2 linked regions of the Daphnia pulex genome follow. Each later gene encodes a partner of the first gene's protein in a complex. Links are inferred from orthologs where the notes say so. Each region holds a gene or a part of one and is shown in the gene's direction. Other genes may lie near its edges.

Region 1 (8,574 bases):
ACTTTTCTATACCCCAAAATCGCTGAAACCCTTTCGTCATTCAAATTGTTATGTTACCATGGACTGCTAATGAAAAATCTAGACCAAGGACTTCCAAACGAGTTTTGATCTAGTTTTTACAGCTAGCGGGTCTGAAGGAAGAGCGTGGTCGGCATAAAAGAAGCTCGCAGTGTTCAAAATTGTGGCAGCATCGTCGGATCTCTCACCATTTGAAGTGCTACTTCCTATCGTTTATAACATAGGCATTAAGACGACATGTCTTATACACTGACTCCAAAAGCGACTTTCTTCCTGTTGGTTATCTTAACATTGACCCTTATTGAGAGCGCTGTTTCGGTTTCACTCACTAAACGCCATATTCCAGGCCGAGTTCCAGGTCGCCCAAGAAAGGTAGTAGGCGGATTCTCACCGATCGACGTGGACGATCCCAACGTCAAGGAAATAGCCGAATTTGCTACAAGTGCCATATCGGAGAGCAGCAATTCTGGGCCTTTATCACTAATCAAAATAGTCAAAGCTGAATCCCAAGTAGTGGCCGGAAGGAATTATAAATTGATCCTAGAGCTCAGTAGCGTCGTTGACGGGGCTAGCGAGACCGAAGAAACCCTTTGCGAAGTGATTGTTTTCCATCAGCCATGGACGCAAACACGGAAACTGAGCAAGTCAAACTGTTTACCAATTAAAGTAATTCATTCTTGGACCGAAGCTCGTGAACTGGGAGCTTCTGTGAACTGTCAAAAACCACAAATCGAAGCTGTTCCTGACACTCCGGCGATGATGGTCGGTGGCTTCTCGCCGATCGACACCGACGACGCTTCAGTCAAAGAAATGGCTAATTTTGCTACAACTAGAATATCAGAAAGCAGTAATTCGGGGCCATTAGCATTGATCAAAGTTGTAAAAGCAGAATCGCAGGTTGTAGCCGGTAAGAATTACAAACTAACTCTGGAGCTGGGTAGTGCTGCCGATGGAGCCGTAGGAAGTAATCTTATTTGCAATGTACTCGTTTTTCATCAATCGTGGACTCACACACTTGAACTGAAGGAGTCCAATTGTTTGGCGCCGATCGAAGCCGAGACTGACATAGTAACTGAAATACTGCGAGCTATTGACGGACGTGAAGACTTGTCGAGAATGGCTGGTTATCTAAATGCGTCTCGTGAAACCTTGATAAAAGAGTTTCCTCTCACCAGTTCTGGTAATTACGAAAAATGTTCATAGTTGCATTTTAGAATTAAGTGAATTTAATATTAAATACTAACTATTTATCCTATTTGACTGAACGGGAAAAAATAGACGGAAGAAAATTGGGCTACACGTTATTTGCACCCACATCGATGGCTTTCATGATGCAAATGCCGCAAGACGCTGGCGATCCTCTCGTAATGGACGCCGATTTTCGCCGGTCGGTACTGATTCGCCATTTTGTTCGCGAGGATGTTTCGTCGGACGATATAGGGAAATTGGACAAGCTCGTCATGGCCGACTCTAACGAGGTTATTTTCACAAGCAAGAGCGCAAATGAATTATGCAACCTACCTCCAATAGACAGCGATGGATCTGAATGTGAAGCATACATCCCGTCATGGACGTTCCAGCCAAATTCCGGCAGATGTGAGAACTACGTATACGGTGGCTGTTTCAAGACGAAAAATCTTTTTGAAACAGAAGAAGAATGCCAAGCCGCCTGTGATCCAGCAGTCCGTAAGTTAGTTATTTAAATAAAAAATTATTAAACATTAAAAATGAAATAAAAACATATTTACTGGATTGATTTGAACTTCTCTAAAAAAAAATCGGCTGCAAATCTTCCTAAATTCAATTAAAATTTGTTTTAGGATGATTTTACAGAAAAACTGAATCACTGCTTATTTTGACTTCTTTTTTCTAGATCCTTTAACACAGCTGGTAAACGAGACAGAAATCCAACAGGTAGCCATTCAATTGGAAAAAGATTTGGGAACCATTTACGCCATTGATCGAGTTTTCATGAGTGGTGATGAAGTTGGCGAAATCCTTCGTATTAAACATCCTAGTCCCGGTCCATTTGGATTTTTCGGAATGCCAATTGAAATACAACCAGAAGTCAATGAGAACATTCCTGCTAGAATCACTGGCGGATTTTCTACTATCGACGTGGACGACGCCTACATAAAGGAGATCGCCGATTTCGCCACAACCGCCATATCTGCAAATAATAACTCAGGACCTGTCCGATTGATTAGGATTATCAAAGCAGAATCGCAGATTGTGGCCGGAAAAAATTTTAAATTGACTCTTAAACTTAACAGCGCTATCGACGAAGTTGATTCCCTCCTGTGCGATGTGGTCGTATTCGATCAATCGTGGTCACAAACCCGACAATTAAAAAAATCGAATTGTTTGTCGATAAATACTGTCGTTTTATGGAACCAAATTCTCAAACAGGAAAATGACTCGTTACCGAATTCACAAGTTACAGAGTTACATAGTTTGTTTTAGGTAACCGTTACCAAATAGCAAATACAAACTTGGTCAACGTACGCTGACGAGGTTGTGCCAAACTTTCTAGTTCCTTGGTTTAAATAATATACCCCCCCCCCCCAAAAAAAAACCCCACACAAACACATGTTCATTTCTCGATAAATGTTTGTTTAAATACAATGCTTTTCACACCTGCAATAATTGTTGAAATTGCTGCTAACGTTGGATAAAGTATTTCCCTATTACAACATTAATTTTGGCAGATAACAAAACTAACATTATAGTATCATCACCAGGGTTTAACCTGTAAGAATTGCTGGTCACGTTGCAATCATCTTGATTTGAGTAGTACAATTCAAACTGAAAATAAATGAAACTGATGTTTACCTACAGAGATGGGTGCCATTTTCGAGGAAGTATAACAAGGACAGACCTGTGCTCACGTAACTTCACATGAAATAGACCCTATCCTAGAATGAATGATTTCTGCCATCTGTTTGTTTCTCAAATCTCAGAGTTAATGGCAGAACCGCAGAGGCAGAATGCAAATGCACACACCCTGCTATATTATTTTTGCAAGTTCTCTCACTGACGACTGACTCATTTCTGAGCAGTTCTCTTCCTTCGAATTTTCGTACCAACCAGCCGTAACGCCATCTCTGGAGCTTGCCGGCAGGCTCTTTTGCAGGCTTGATGCTTGATGCAGACGATGTTATTTCAAAAGCAGTAAGTTGTCAAGTGTGACTTGTTTGCGATTTTGAATGGAATTGTAGAAACGTGGTTCATCAATTTATAAACAATTTTCAGCTTACTGGCATTAAAATAAACAAATGGCTGATAAATTAGCAAGAGCCGAGAAGGCTATAGAATCGAATCCATTTGATTTGGAAGCTTGGGGTCAAATTTTGCGTGAAGCCCAAATACGCAAGATTGATGATGCTCGAACTTACTTTGAACGCTTGGTGGCCCAGTTTCCGACATCAGGTCGTTATTGGAAAATGTACATTGAACAAGAAATGCGAGCAAGAAACTATGATAAAGTCGAAAAGGTAGCAATTAATTTAGCACATTCTAATGAAGCCATTCAATCTTGCTCCTCCCTATTTTTAGCTGTTTCAACGATGCTTGGTCAAGGTTTTAAACATTGAACTGTGGAAATTGTATGTTAACTATGTGAAAGAAACCAAAAGTGCTCTGCCCAACTACAGGTACAACAAACTTGAATATACAAACACTAAATATTGTTTTCTTTAATCATACCAATGTTCACAGAGAAAAAATTGCTCAATGCTACGATTTTACACTGGACAAAGTTGGGATGGATATTCAGTCATACAGTATTTGGAATGACTATATTCACTTCCTCCGTAATGTTGAAGCTGTTGGATCTTATGCTGAAAATCAAAGGATCACGGCTGTGAGGAAAGTGTATCAAAGGGGTGTAATCACTCCAATGCTTAACATTGAACAACTATGGAAGGATTACATTGCTTATGAATTGGCTATTAACCCCATGATTGCTGAAAAGATGCAACAGGTACAGTTTTTTTTTTTTTAAACCTTACCCTAACACTTTTTAAACACTTATTTTCAATTATTTAGGAGCGCAGCCGTGATTACATGAATGCTAGAAGAGTTGCCAAAGAACTAGAGGCCTGCACTCGCGGTCTTAACAAGGCTATGCCTTCGACTCCTCCATCCAATCATCCGGAACAAAACAAACAGGTGGAACTGTGGAAGAAGTATCTGGCTTGGGAGAAATCGAATCCCCTCCGTACGGAAGACCAGTCACTACTCACTAAGAGAACAATGTTCGCTTTCGAACAATGTCTCCTATGTCTGGGACATCATCCTCATGTTTGGTATGAAGCTGCCCTTTTTCTACAGATTAGCACAAAAACTCTTTCAGATAAAGGGGTAAGTTAAAGCACCAATTTCTGTCAATATTCTTAAATTTAAAGATTCTTTTTAGGATGTTACGGCTGCCAAGAACTTAGCTGAAGAAGTCTCAAATATTTATGAACGATCAATTAATGGGCCCATGTCACATAATAGTTTGCTTTATTTCGCTTATGCGGATTACGAAGAGGGACGAATTAAGTACGACAAAGCTCATCAGATCTATACAAAATATTTGGAGCAGCATGACATCGACCCAACTTTGGTAATTTTATCACTTTTTACATTGTACATACAAACCCCTTATGTTTAAAACATTCGCAGGGTTATATTCAATATATGCGATTTGCAAGGAGAGCAGAAGGTATTAAATCGGCTCGACTAGTGTTCAAGAGATCTCGCCAGGATCCCCGCTGTTCTAGCCATGTTTTCGTAGCTGCTGCCTTAATGGAATATTATTGCACCAAGGACAAAAATATCGCCTTTAAAATATTCGATCTAGGCCTCAAACGTTTCAAGCATCAACCTGATTATCTGCTTGCTTATGTGGAATTCTTGACCCAACTAAATGAAGATAACAACACTAGAGTTCTCTTTGAAAGGATTCTTTCATCAGGTTCCCTCACTTCTGAAAATTCGCTTGAAATTTGGAACCGCTTCCTCGAATTTGAGTCTTCTATTGGTGATCTTTCGAGTGTAATCAAAGTAGAAAAAAGACGCAACGCCGTTCTCGACAAGGTATTTTTTATTTTATTTTTTTTTTCATTTAGTGTTGTGTATTTTTGGATTCATTTCAATTGTGTTATTTATTTTAGCTTAAGGAACTGGAAGGTAAAGAAACAGCACTTCTTATTGATCGGTATAGATTTGGAACCCTCTTCCCTTGCTCAGCCGCGGATTTAAGGTGAGTTTCTTATGTTACTTGATAACTTTTTTCTAATATTTGTTTTTAATGATTCTCTTAAAAGGGCTTTGGGATACTACGAAGTAGCAGAGCTGAGTAGTAGTCAAAATGCTAAAAACCTCCTTGCTAGAGAGGAAGAAAGTAGAAAACAAAGCACAGAAGCGGCTGATGTTACCATGTACAAGCCCGATTTTTCTCAGATGGTTCCGTTCAAGCCGAAGATGCAATGGACCCCCGGAGAACACATTGCGCCTGGTAAAGTTTCTACAAAGTATTTCTAGATTACAACTTAACGAATTCTTTGATGCGTTTGGACAGGAGGAGGATTTCCGCTTCCACCTGCAGCCTCTCAACTGTGCGGAATGTTACCGCCTCCGCATTGTTTCCACGGTCCTTTTGTAGTAGTCGATCCAGTAATGGAGCTTATTAAACATTTGAATATAAGCGAAACAAGTAATACTTTGATTTCCCTTGGCTGTATTATATTTTTAAACATTAACATTTATTGGTGTATTTTAGGTTCTCTTCTTGCAAATACAGCGGAAAATTCTAAACTATTTGACATGGCTCGAAGTGTTCATTGGCTTCCGAAAGATACGGGTGTCGATCGTCCACAAAAAAAGAGAGGGGTGGGTGAAGAGTCTGAAGATGAGGAGCCGATCGCCATTAGTGGATCTCAGCCTGGTGGACCGCCACCAAATGATATTTACAGGAAACGACAACAGAAGCGAGTCAAGTGATGAAAGAATTTACTTGATCAATATTCAAAACACAAATACACACATAATTGTTTACACCATCCATAATCAAATCATTTCTGATAAAAGTTTTCTAGTAATTTTTGAACTCGCCACAACATGACTTCATTAGTACCAGAACAATTTTCTGGTCTGTAAGGGGGGCCTACTACTATTTCATTTAGCACTAGTAAACAACCATAATTATTTTCATTCACTGGAATACGGCTTTCATGAAACCATTTTTTCAGGGCATCTTTCAGCGGCTTCCAATCTTCAGTATGTTGGGAGCTAGCTCCAGGTCCTTGCATTCCATTGTTCTCTTGCGTAAGGGTTCTGGTATTGGTTGATGTTAATTTTACAATCTTGAGATACTTAATTGAATTTCCAATAACTAATTTTATGCTTCTTTCTTCTTGGTTACAACGATCGACCATCATAAAAAGACTAAAAATGAAAGATTCAAAAGAAATGTTAAACTATGGCTTCATATGCATGCATTGTTGTCTTAAACTTTGTGGTTTCTACTAACCTTCCACTTATTGGATCCATTGAGTAGATTTGTCCAACAAACTTGACATGATTAATTGTTAAAACTTCGACTCTGCTACCGACTAAATTTATATAATTAGCCGGACATTTTTCTAAGGGATATTGTAACACACATCCTTCTGCAAGTTCCATTTTCAAAACTGTTATGATGCGAACGATGACCTAGTGCTCCACCATACGGATAAAAATTGCAACTAAAACTGCCTTATTGCAACTTTTGCTATCCTTAAATTTCTTAAAATACATTCATTAAAAAATGATTTCTCAACCAGCTTCAGTTTTATATTCTAAATTTGGACTGGTTCAGACGAAATATAATTTAATTCGTGAACAATCGTGAATCTGTTTGAAATCATGGTCATGGTTGGGGTTGCCCATGGGCAACCATCGCGAGCAGCCGAAATAAATGTAAACAGTTGCTTCGAATTTTTACCTTCTCAATTTTCTATCGAAACCTAAAAGGTTTTAGAAAACATAAACCATGAAGATTCCTGCACCTTATTTATGGTTCTCTGCTGTTGGAGCATTTGGTGGCGGGATCATACTGGTCAAGTAAAAAAAATTGTCTAAAGTTCAGCAAATCTTGCTGCTAGACCTAAAATATTCATGTTGTTTTAGAGAATATTTCAGTGGAACTAGATATGAAGGTAAAGAAAAATTAGACGGAAAAACAGTGATTATTACTGGGGCTACTGATGGAATTGGAAAGGAAACAGCTAAAGATCTAGCTAAAAGAGGAGCAAAAGTATATATGGCCTCTCGTGATATGAAGAAGTGTGAAGAAATTAGAAAAGAATTTGTCCTTGAAAGTGGGAACAAATTCATCTATTGCCGAAAATGTGACCTAGCATCACAGGAATCAATCAGACAGTTTGCTTCAAGATTTAATTCTGGTATTTTTCTTATATGATTCCCTTTTGTGGCAAATGTACTTAACTATTTTCTAGAGGAATCAAAGTTGCATATCCTTATTAACAATGCCGGGGTAATGCGTTGTCCTCGTAGTTTAACTCTCGAAGGTATCGAGATGCAGATAGGGGTAATATACGATACAATAAAATTGAGTTTCTCCAATATCTCAATACAATAATAAATTTTTACAGGTAAACCATTTTGGTCATTTTCTTCTTACCCATCTGTTGCTTGATAAACTTAAAGTAAGAATTAATATTTAAAAATGATGTCATACCTATTTTAAAAGCGCTGTATTAATAGCAATCCGCACCCAGTCGAATCATTAACGTTTCAAGCGTGGCCCATTTAAGAGGAAAAATAGATTTTGATGACCTCAACTCGGAAAAAAAGTACGATCCTGCAGCAGCTTACGAACAGAGTAAGTTAGCCAATGTTCTGTTCACGCGCGAACTAGCAAAACGCCTGGAAGGTAAAATAATAAATTAATTTCAAAACTATATTTTAAAAAATAATCTGATCAATTTAAAATTACCAGGAACCGGTGTGACCGTAAACGCCTTACACCCAGGAATTGTGAATACAAATATTGCTCGTCACATGGGTTTTGTCAACAGTTGGTTTGCAAGCATCATTCTTAAACCACTTTCCTGGCCTTTTATTCGAACGCCCCCGAGAGGAGCGCAGACAACTCTATACGCAGCACTTGATCCCTCACTTGAAAAAGTAACTGGGAAATATTTCAGGTGACTTCAAATAATTGTGTGTTAACATCACAGCCGTTGTCTAATTTGGAACTGGAATATTAGTAATTGTGCAGAAGCTGAGGTTTCACCCCAAGCTCTGGATGATGACGTTGCTCGAAAACTCTTCCTTACTAGTTTACGATGGACACGTCTAAATTAGAAGAAAATAAAAATTGCAAGTTAACTGTCTTTAAATTTGCATTTTCCAATTCGTTTAAACAAAATAGATAATTTTAAACTTAACAACGGAATGGTACATTGTCATTTTTTGTACGATTAAAGTCACCACGAGTTCCTCCCGATTTACTAACCAATTGAAGATTACGAATTTCAGCTTCTCTAGTCACCGCTTTAACCATAT
Region 2 (8,148 bases), on another chromosome or scaffold:
CTAGAATTTAAAGAAAGCAGGCAAAACCCAATAAAAAAATTCCCTTCTTCATATATTTTTTTAAAATAGGAAAAAGAAGAAGATGTTGAACACAATAAACAACCCAGTCACTTTGAAATCCTTGGTGGAGGATGGTAGTATATAGGTAGACTTAAAAGGGACTGGAATTGGTACCTATCACGACTTTCCTAGAGAATCCACAGACAAAATTGAAGAAATAAGACAATAAATGGGGGCATTCGGGCACCAACAAAAAAAAAAGACTACAAATAATAAAACGAAAAAGTGCGAATCTTCGCTATAGCATACCAATCAGAATAACAGGAGTAAAGCAATAAAGGCCAAAAATTCACTACCCACTTCTTACGGGTGAGTGCCGCCTTTGTTGCTCCACTCGGTTATTATCATTATCACTTCGTTAGTAAGATATTATTATTGCACTTTCTTTCAATTTGGTTTTGAACCTGTTAGTAGAGTGCAGGTTTGATACGTAACTTGACTGGATGATGTTGCTGGATTTGATGAGCAGTTGGTTTGGTGGCTGTGCGTAAATTGGGAGTGGGGATTTCTCGTGCAACTACGCCTTCGTCTTGAATGATTCGAGGAAAAAAAAATGAATAAAAAAAATAAATAAAGGCATTTAGAGGGATCACGAGTTGCAATGGGGCCAGCTATACAGACACCATAAGGCGAAGTGGAGCCATAAGAACTCAAAACAAACAAAAAAACTGGAAAATAAAAATTACCAGAGCTCATGGCTCCACTCGTTAAGAGATACTATGTTGATGAGATGGTCGTATTTTTAAGTACATTCTTCCCTGTCTTTCGCGTTAATCTACAATTAAGCTTTCATCACATGAGAATAATAATGCTTCCGGTAAAAGCATTATTGGTTCAAAGGGCAAGGGGGTTTACAATGATCGAATCCCATTTTTATCAAAATTGGCAATTAAGTAAATTGACTTTGTCGCTCCATTGGCCCGGAAGTGACGCACCAGATGGCGGTTCAGTGCACGGCTAACAAAGAATGAAACGAAAAAATTCAACATAAACTCTTTCACAAAATAAGTGAAAAAGTTGGAAAACAAAAGTATTCAAATCACCAAATACCGTACCGTTTCACAGATATTCATATTGCAGCAATCTTCGATGTTGATGACACGCTCAGCTGCTGGTCGGTAGTTCTTCCCCTTGATGACTCGCCTCTTGAAACGCGATCGTCCAGAGCTTAATCGCCATACGCGGAAACTCAGAATAATAACAGCGATTATTAGAATGACGCACATGACAGATGTGCTCATCAATGCTATGAAGATTTCGCTGTTCTCAGCCTCAGTAGCTGTTGAGAAAGATGACCTCCCGCAACTATTTCGAGACGTATCAACAGTGTCTGTTATTTCACAGCGGTCACCACTATAGTTCTCTGCACAACTGTACAAGACTTTCGTTAATTATTGCCAACGCATAATTAATTTTTTAAAAATTACCTGCAACTAATTTCGTTGTTGACAAAAAAGCAATGTCCCTCATTAAAGCAATAGCCGATACACAATCCGGAGTCCGTTTCGGAAACTGGGGTAACATGGAACTCTTGAGGCGTATTATTTGATTCAGACGAAGAATCCATTGCCGGTGTTGATCGGTGTTCCGAATGATGAATTAGCTCTGTTGTAGCTGCTGAATGTTGGATATCGATCGAACAATGAACTGGTTGGCGCTGGAGTATGATGACAGCCATGGGTTTATATTGGAAACGACGTAGAGAAACCGGTCCATCGATAGATCCTTCTTTGGGCAGGGACCAGAGAGACTTCTGGTCCCAGTCTGTCCAGTATATGTCATGTTCTCCAACCTTGTCAATTTAAGAAGGAAAATAAAGAAATCTTATGTCAAACGCGAGTAAGAAAAAATAAATACCGTAAGACCGAAAATAAATTGCCCCCGCATTTCATGGCCCTTGCCTTCGTACAAGAGCTCTCTGTCCGATCCGTCAACTTTGCTTCTTTCAATTTGAAAAGTTCCATGACGAAGGTTGTTGGCCCAGTAAATCATTTGCTGACTAACATCCAATCCCAATCCGTGAGGCATAAAAAGTCCTTTATGTACGATAACCTCGCGGTGACTACCATTGAGATAGGATCGTTCAATGGTAGGTCTATCTATATTCCAATTGGTCCAGTACAGCATTCTGAAACAGAATAGAATAATTTAAAAATGTTACATAACTACAAACATTTGATTAACAAAATACCTTGTACAAGGATCAGATATCAGTCCTCTTGGTTTATCTCCTCGGAGCAGATGGACTAGTTCAATCGTGTTGTTTTCGTAGACATGAAGGTCTTCACGTTCAACTACGAATCGGCGAATCGACTGTTTGGTACCGTCAGTCCATAACAGTGTTTTCTCCAGATTATCATAGGTCAAAGCTTCAACCGACTCGTTGGTTCCTCCTACTCATCACGTTCACAAACATTAGCATGTATGGACAGATATCAAATCGCAAAATAAAAATATTACTTTCCACGACATCATGGACAGAGCCTTGAGCCTTGATCCCATCGAATGTGACGCTAAACACGTGCCCTCGTCGATTACGCTTGTCTGAGAAGAAGAGTTTTTGTGAAGATGGATCGTAAGCCAGGGCGACCAGTACGGAAGCATTGTAGTTCTCCAATTTGAGTGGATTGCTTTGAGATCCATTGGTCAGGATTTCAATTTGATCGCCGACAGCAACAATTAAATCTGGAAATGGAAATAAGTGGTTAAGAGACCATTCCGGAACGAGTTATCCGACTCTTGTCTTGCGATCGATGGACTGGCAATCCGATATGCTCTTATAAAGTCTACGTGCTACAAGTTCTAGATGGGAGCGATACCAAAGTCACAGCTACAGAATGAGTCTACGTGACCGAATCGATGAAATGATAACGGATGTTTTAGGTTTCTTGCCGACATTTTGCGAAAAACAGAACACGTTATTAAACTCAAGAATCGGTTTAAATCCGACCGATATCAAAAAGGTAAACTAGTGGTTGTTTTGTTTTGTCTTGAATCCTAATGTTTCCACGTCGGAAATTCGTGGAACTAGTTAATATCTTCTACGCACGAAATTTTGCATTTTACTATTATTAACTTCCTGCAAATAGCAAGGTCGACTAATGACGTGCTCAAGGAGAAAATAGCAAAATATTGACAAACATGAATGCAGACAAAATAAGTTTCAAGGACCAACTACCGGCAGACGATATTTAGTCAATATCAGAAGTAACACGTTTCCTAAGGTATTCCCCGGATATCACGTGAGAATTGCATTTTTATTACAAGAGAAAGCTCGCTGGTTTGTTTTTATGATGTTGTCAATGGATTTTTATTTTCTTTTAAAGCCTGTGTGAGAGCAGAATTTTTTGTGTAGTCAGCTGTAGCAATAGTCATATTTCGATACCAGTGTCGTCTGCTACTACGGACTACGTGACTTGGCTCGGCATTTCCCATTTAATAATCGTATGGTAGGCAAAAATGTGTATATTTACCGTCGTAGGATTTGGTTGCGGCAGCAAGTGCGAAGAAAATCCACACTAATAAGGATCGTGAATTCATATCTCGATCCGTAGGCACAGAAGACAAATTTATAAAATACTCATTGATAAAAAGAAACGATCTTAGTTGAACAAATGATGAGTAATATTCTTTGTCTTCACCGGCCACCGAGACACCATGTACCGGGAAACCTGCCAAACCAACTAAATGTAGTCCGGCCGAAATTCTTGAGATCATGCGCGATGCAACCTTATTCCCTGATCTACTTTGTACTGCCGTGTCTCGTGGCTGGTGCAACACTAAACACTCTGGCGGCTAACAATGCAACTTCCGGCAATGCGCCATCTCGTTTGTTATCTTGAAATCGTATCCTACTTGTCGGCATTTTCTGTGTTTACACTGGTTCGAGAAAGACATAATCTTGTTCTTGTATTTTTCTCGTTCGATTTTGAATATTTAATTCACACAAAATGAAAGACTCCGAAATTTTGGAAGCGATGGAATCTAAAAATGCGATAAAGTTTAAAGAACAAATTTATCGACTCATTATCAGGTAGTGTAACATAGTTAAGTTTGTACTCGAGTCATCGTACGCGTGGTTATATTGTCTTGACGTGTTTTTCCCTTTATGTAGCCAATTATTTTATGATGGTTTCCAATCACTGGCTGTCAGTCTATCATCAGCAGTTCAAGCACATCCAACATGCCCCCCATCCGATCGACTCAATCATATTGTCTCGCTAGGACTTCAGCATGAACACAGTAACTCGATATTCAATGATAGGAAATACAATTTTATAACCATGTTTAATCTTTGGTAATATTTTTCAGCATTGAAGAAACCATTAAATAAAGTGGAGATGCTTTTGGGTCCAGGACTGGATTTGGAATATGAAACTGATGTTCAAACCTCAGCTCCAGAACCAGCACTTTATGAAACTGCATATGTAACATCCCACAAAGCGCAATGTAGATCTGGGGCTTTCAGCCCTGATGGTCAGTTAGTTGCCACTGGAAGTGTTGATGCATCCATCAAGGTGACATGAGCAACACCTTTCTACAATTTCATTACCTAATAACAAGTTCAATTGTAGATCCTTGATGTTGATCGAATGTTGGCTAAATCATCCCCAGATGGAGAAATGGCAACTGATCAGCAAGGCCATCCTGTTATCAGAACTTTATATGACCACGTAGAAGAAGTGACCTGTCTGGAATTCCATCCTCGTGACGCCATTCTCGCATCTGGATCTCGCGATTGCACTGTTAAATTATTTGACTTCAGTAAAGCAGCGGCAAAGAAAGCTTTCAAAACACTATCAGTAACAAAAAAGCTTTTCTCGTGGCCCTTACAGTTCCTATTGAATTTTTATATGATTTGTTTAATAGGATTCAGATCAAATTCGTTGCATGGCTTTCCATCCTACCGGAGACTATTTGGTTGTTGGTACAAATCAGCCCGTTGTACGTCTGTATGACACCAACACCGCTCAATGCTACGTCTGTTCATTTCCGTCTCAGTATCACACCAACGCTATTACCTCACTTAAGTATTTATTAATTGGAAGAAAGCATTTGTTAAACAAATTATAATGTGTTTATCGTAGGTATTCTTTTGATGGCAAACTTTATGTATCCGGTTCTCGAGATGGTTCCATAAAACTCTGGGACGGAGTGTCTAACAAGTGTGTCGGTACCATTAGCCAAGCCCACGACGGTGCGGAAGTTGGATCTGTTACATTTTCTCGCAGTGGCAAAGTATTTACACTGTCGTTTCTTACCCATATTTATAACTGGTTTTAACTGTATGTCAATGTTTTTTTTTCTCTAATTAATCAGTATGTTCTTTCATCTGGCACGGATTCATCTGTTAAACTTTGGGAGCTCTCTTCACTACGCTGCATTATAGCCTACACTGGAGCTGGCACAATGGGTAAGATAATTATTACAAGTATGAGGCTTATATTCAATAATCAAACGTAATTATGGTTTATGAAGGCAAACAAGAGCACCGTGCTCAAGCTCTATTTAACCATTCGGAAGATTTTGTCATGTTCCCCGACGAGGCAACAACATCCTTGTGTTGTTGGGATGCTCGGACAGCTCAACGCAAACAGTTGTTGTCGCTTGGTAAGGAGGAAAAAATTCAATGGATAAAATAATTCATTTAATATCTTGTTGATATTTTTTTAGGTCACAATGGTGCGGTCCGTTACATTATCCATGCGCCTAGTACGGCGGCTTTTCTCACCTGCTCAGACGATTACCGCGCCAGGTTTTGGTACCGTCGCAACCCACATTAGATTAAGCTGTCAAATTGTACATGAATAATTGAATAAATGAGAAAAGCTACACTTTCATCTGAATAAATAATTTTGTTTCTTGTTTGGATTGAAACCGTATAGTTTCTACAAATGACGTCATTAACGTCAGTGCATTTAGAGGCTATGTATAACGGGGTCATACTCTATTCTTTCGAGATTATCTAATTGGTTCCACCATACTTTAAGATGGCTGTTGAGAATAAGTTTGAACCACGGTGTAAAGGGGATGTTATTCTTTTCGAGGTAGCCTTGAAATTCTTGAAAGCCGGATAGGGAGACGAAAACAACGCGGCTCACTTCGTTCGGGTTGGGTTTTACGGGAACGTCTTTCCTCAAAAACAGGATATAATCCACTTCATGTTCACCCCATTTGGCATCAGAAGGTGCACCATAAATGATTCTGGTGAGAATTTTAAAATCAGACAGCTCAATACTATCTGGACTGATGCCCAGTTCAATTTCAAGCCTTCTTCTAGCAGCTCTTCTGATCCCTACATGGTGAGCTTCTTCAGCTTCATCAGGTGTTGTATTATGTAACGGATGACTGCAACAGGAATTTGTATAATAACCTATTACAAATAACACATTTACTAGACTATAGTTACTTTGCTGTAGTCATACAAACCAGGAAAAGTAATTTTGTGATTGGATCTCTGTTGCATCAGTAGCTCATTTTTGGTATTAAAGAGAAAAACACTGAAGGCCCGATGAAGAGGTGGGAGTTGACCATCTGGACCAAGTAAATGAGCTGCTTCCTTTGATAAATTCCCAACTGCTCTATCATTAGTGTCGACGGAAATGCATTGCTCCTGAAGTAGGAGAGCTTGAGTAGGATCCATAGCTAGATGTTGGTTCATTCTGACACTAGAAAATGATGACAGTTCGTTTAACATAGACCAATTTGAAGCACGATTCAGAATAGAAGAAATCTTTCTGAGGACTTTCCCTGCCATTCGTTAAAATATCAACAGAAACGAATACCAAAGTGGCTAATAGAAAAAAAATACTGGGAAATGAGAACTAACAGAAAATCAAACTATCCCACGTGAGCGTAATGGTGAGACTGACTAACTGAGACGTCTGCTCTACAGTAATCAACTAATCAGAATCGGGATCACGGATTCACGATGTAGGATCTAGGATAATAGACAAGTTCGGGATGCTGAGTTGCACAACCGCAAAATTAGGATCGTGCGCCAACGAGTTTTTGTAACGTTGTGGGGATAGTAGAAAGCGGGTTTTTTATTATTTAAGCATAGAATTACTTATCTAATCTTAGAAATGTTCAGGATTATCGTTGTTTAGAACATTCTGCTTTTTATAGAGTAATTTGAAATGTATAATTCAGCTTAGTTTACCCATTAAAATTAAAGAAAGTCCAAGCCTGGGATGCTGTTTAGTCTTTTCTTGTGTTTTTTGACAGATCTGCTGACAAGTGACAAGCTCAAACACACAAGAAAAGACTAAACAGCATCCCAGGCTTGGACTTTCTTTAATTTTAATGGGTAAACTAAGCTGAATTATACATTTCAAATTACTCTATAAAAAGCAGAATGTTCTAAACAACGATAATCCTGAACATTTCTAAGATTAGATAAGTAATTCTATGCTTAAATAATAAAAAACCCGCTTTCTACTATCCCCACAACGTTACAAAAACTCGTTGGCGCACGATCCTAATTTTGCGGTTGTGCAACTCAGCATCCCGAACTTGTCTATAGTATCTCTTTTACAAAATAGTATCTCTTTTACAAAATAAACCCACTTTCCAAATTACTTTTTTTTAAAGCACAAGCTATATATTTATCTACTTTTTCGTAAACGAGTTTTCTGTATAATTTTATGAAACCTGAAAAATGACACCAGTTGGAAAGTAATAGCTACTGATCCAGTGATATGTGTCATTTAAAATTTTCGGAGAATTCCATTCGTTCTCTTTAATTAAGTCTTATGACTATAGTGGCAGAAACAATTATTTTTCAAATTAACTTTTATTAAATAACCGGAGAATTTTCAATTACTTACGAGTAGTGGCAAGGTTCGTTGTTAAATAAGTAAATTTCTCCATTTAGGCGCGACTTTATAAAGGCGCATTTCAAACAATCTAAAAAGTTTCTTTCATAACAAGAAAAATATAAAGGTTTTTTTCTAAAGATGAGAAACTTTGTCTTGATGACAGGGATAAATTTCCATACCATCTGGTGGCGTGGCAGGGTTAGCTAGGTCGTTCTTTTTTTAGAAAATTAGGACGTAACGAATGAAAGGTAAACTTTCAGAGAAATGT

Evidence for each region.
Region 2: the proteins of cleavage stimulation factor subunit 3-like (region 1) and cleavage stimulation factor subunit 1-like are in contact, whole or in part, in a crystal structure (PDB 6B3X), measured with the Homo sapiens proteins. The link is inferred for Daphnia pulex from reciprocal best matches to the Homo sapiens genes CSTF3 and CSTF1. Residues at the interface, in NP_001317.1 of Homo sapiens: Tyr581, Pro582, Lys583, Pro584, Asp585, Thr586, Gln588, Met589, Ile590, Pro591, Phe592, Pro594; in NP_001028693.1 of Homo sapiens: Arg118, Glu216, Ala217, His226, Pro227, Ser228, Asp230, Phe231, Thr240, Arg242, Leu243, Tyr244, Cys251, Phe252, Val253, Ser254, Cys255, Tyr270, Ser272, Ser273, Ala274, Asn275, Gly291, Val292, Ser293, Asn294.

Annotation. Positions count from the first base shown.
Region 1 is NC_060019.1:11,046,884-11,055,457, forward strand, and holds cleavage stimulation factor subunit 3-like, read left to right. Parts: upstream 1-3,142; 5' UTR 3,143-3,293; coding exon 3,294-3,512; intron 3,513-3,573; coding exon 3,574-3,671; intron 3,672-3,735; coding exon 3,736-4,000; intron 4,001-4,065; coding exon 4,066-4,380; intron 4,381-4,435; coding exon 4,436-4,627; intron 4,628-4,686; coding exon 4,687-5,100; intron 5,101-5,177; coding exon 5,178-5,266; intron 5,267-5,330; coding exon 5,331-5,521; intron 5,522-5,584; coding exon 5,585-5,719; intron 5,720-5,785; coding exon 5,786-6,006; 3' UTR 6,007-6,065; downstream 6,066-8,574. Other genes in the region: uncharacterized protein LOC124191292, read left to right, coding at 256-1,198, 1,297-1,704, 1,892-2,481; retinol dehydrogenase 13-like, read left to right, coding at 7,037-7,107, 7,174-7,448, 7,503-7,594, 7,659-7,712, 7,771-7,939, 8,006-8,213, 8,277-8,373; GTP 3',8-cyclase, mitochondrial-like, read right to left, coding at 8,453-8,574. UniProt on the Homo sapiens protein: One of the multiple factors required for polyadenylation and 3'-end cleavage of mammalian pre-mRNAs.
Region 2 is NC_060027.1:1,880,861-1,889,008, forward strand, and holds cleavage stimulation factor subunit 1-like, read left to right. Parts: upstream 1-3,888; 5' UTR 3,889-4,010; coding exon 4,011-4,093; intron 4,094-4,174; coding exon 4,175-4,302; intron 4,303-4,371; coding exon 4,372-4,577; intron 4,578-4,634; coding exon 4,635-4,862; intron 4,863-4,929; coding exon 4,930-5,090; intron 5,091-5,147; coding exon 5,148-5,298; intron 5,299-5,379; coding exon 5,380-5,473; intron 5,474-5,538; coding exon 5,539-5,670; intron 5,671-5,733; coding exon 5,734-5,843; 3' UTR 5,844-5,910; downstream 5,911-8,148. Other genes in the region: protein cueball-like, read right to left, coding at 937-1,017, 1,116-1,431, 1,488-1,852, 1,918-2,188, 2,252-2,453, 2,521-2,745, 3,534-3,777; isopentenyl-diphosphate Delta-isomerase 1-like, read right to left, coding at 5,979-6,433, 6,490-6,728, 7,890-8,062. UniProt on the Homo sapiens protein: One of the multiple factors required for polyadenylation and 3'-end cleavage of mammalian pre-mRNAs. May be responsible for the interaction of CSTF with other factors to form a stable complex on the pre-mRNA.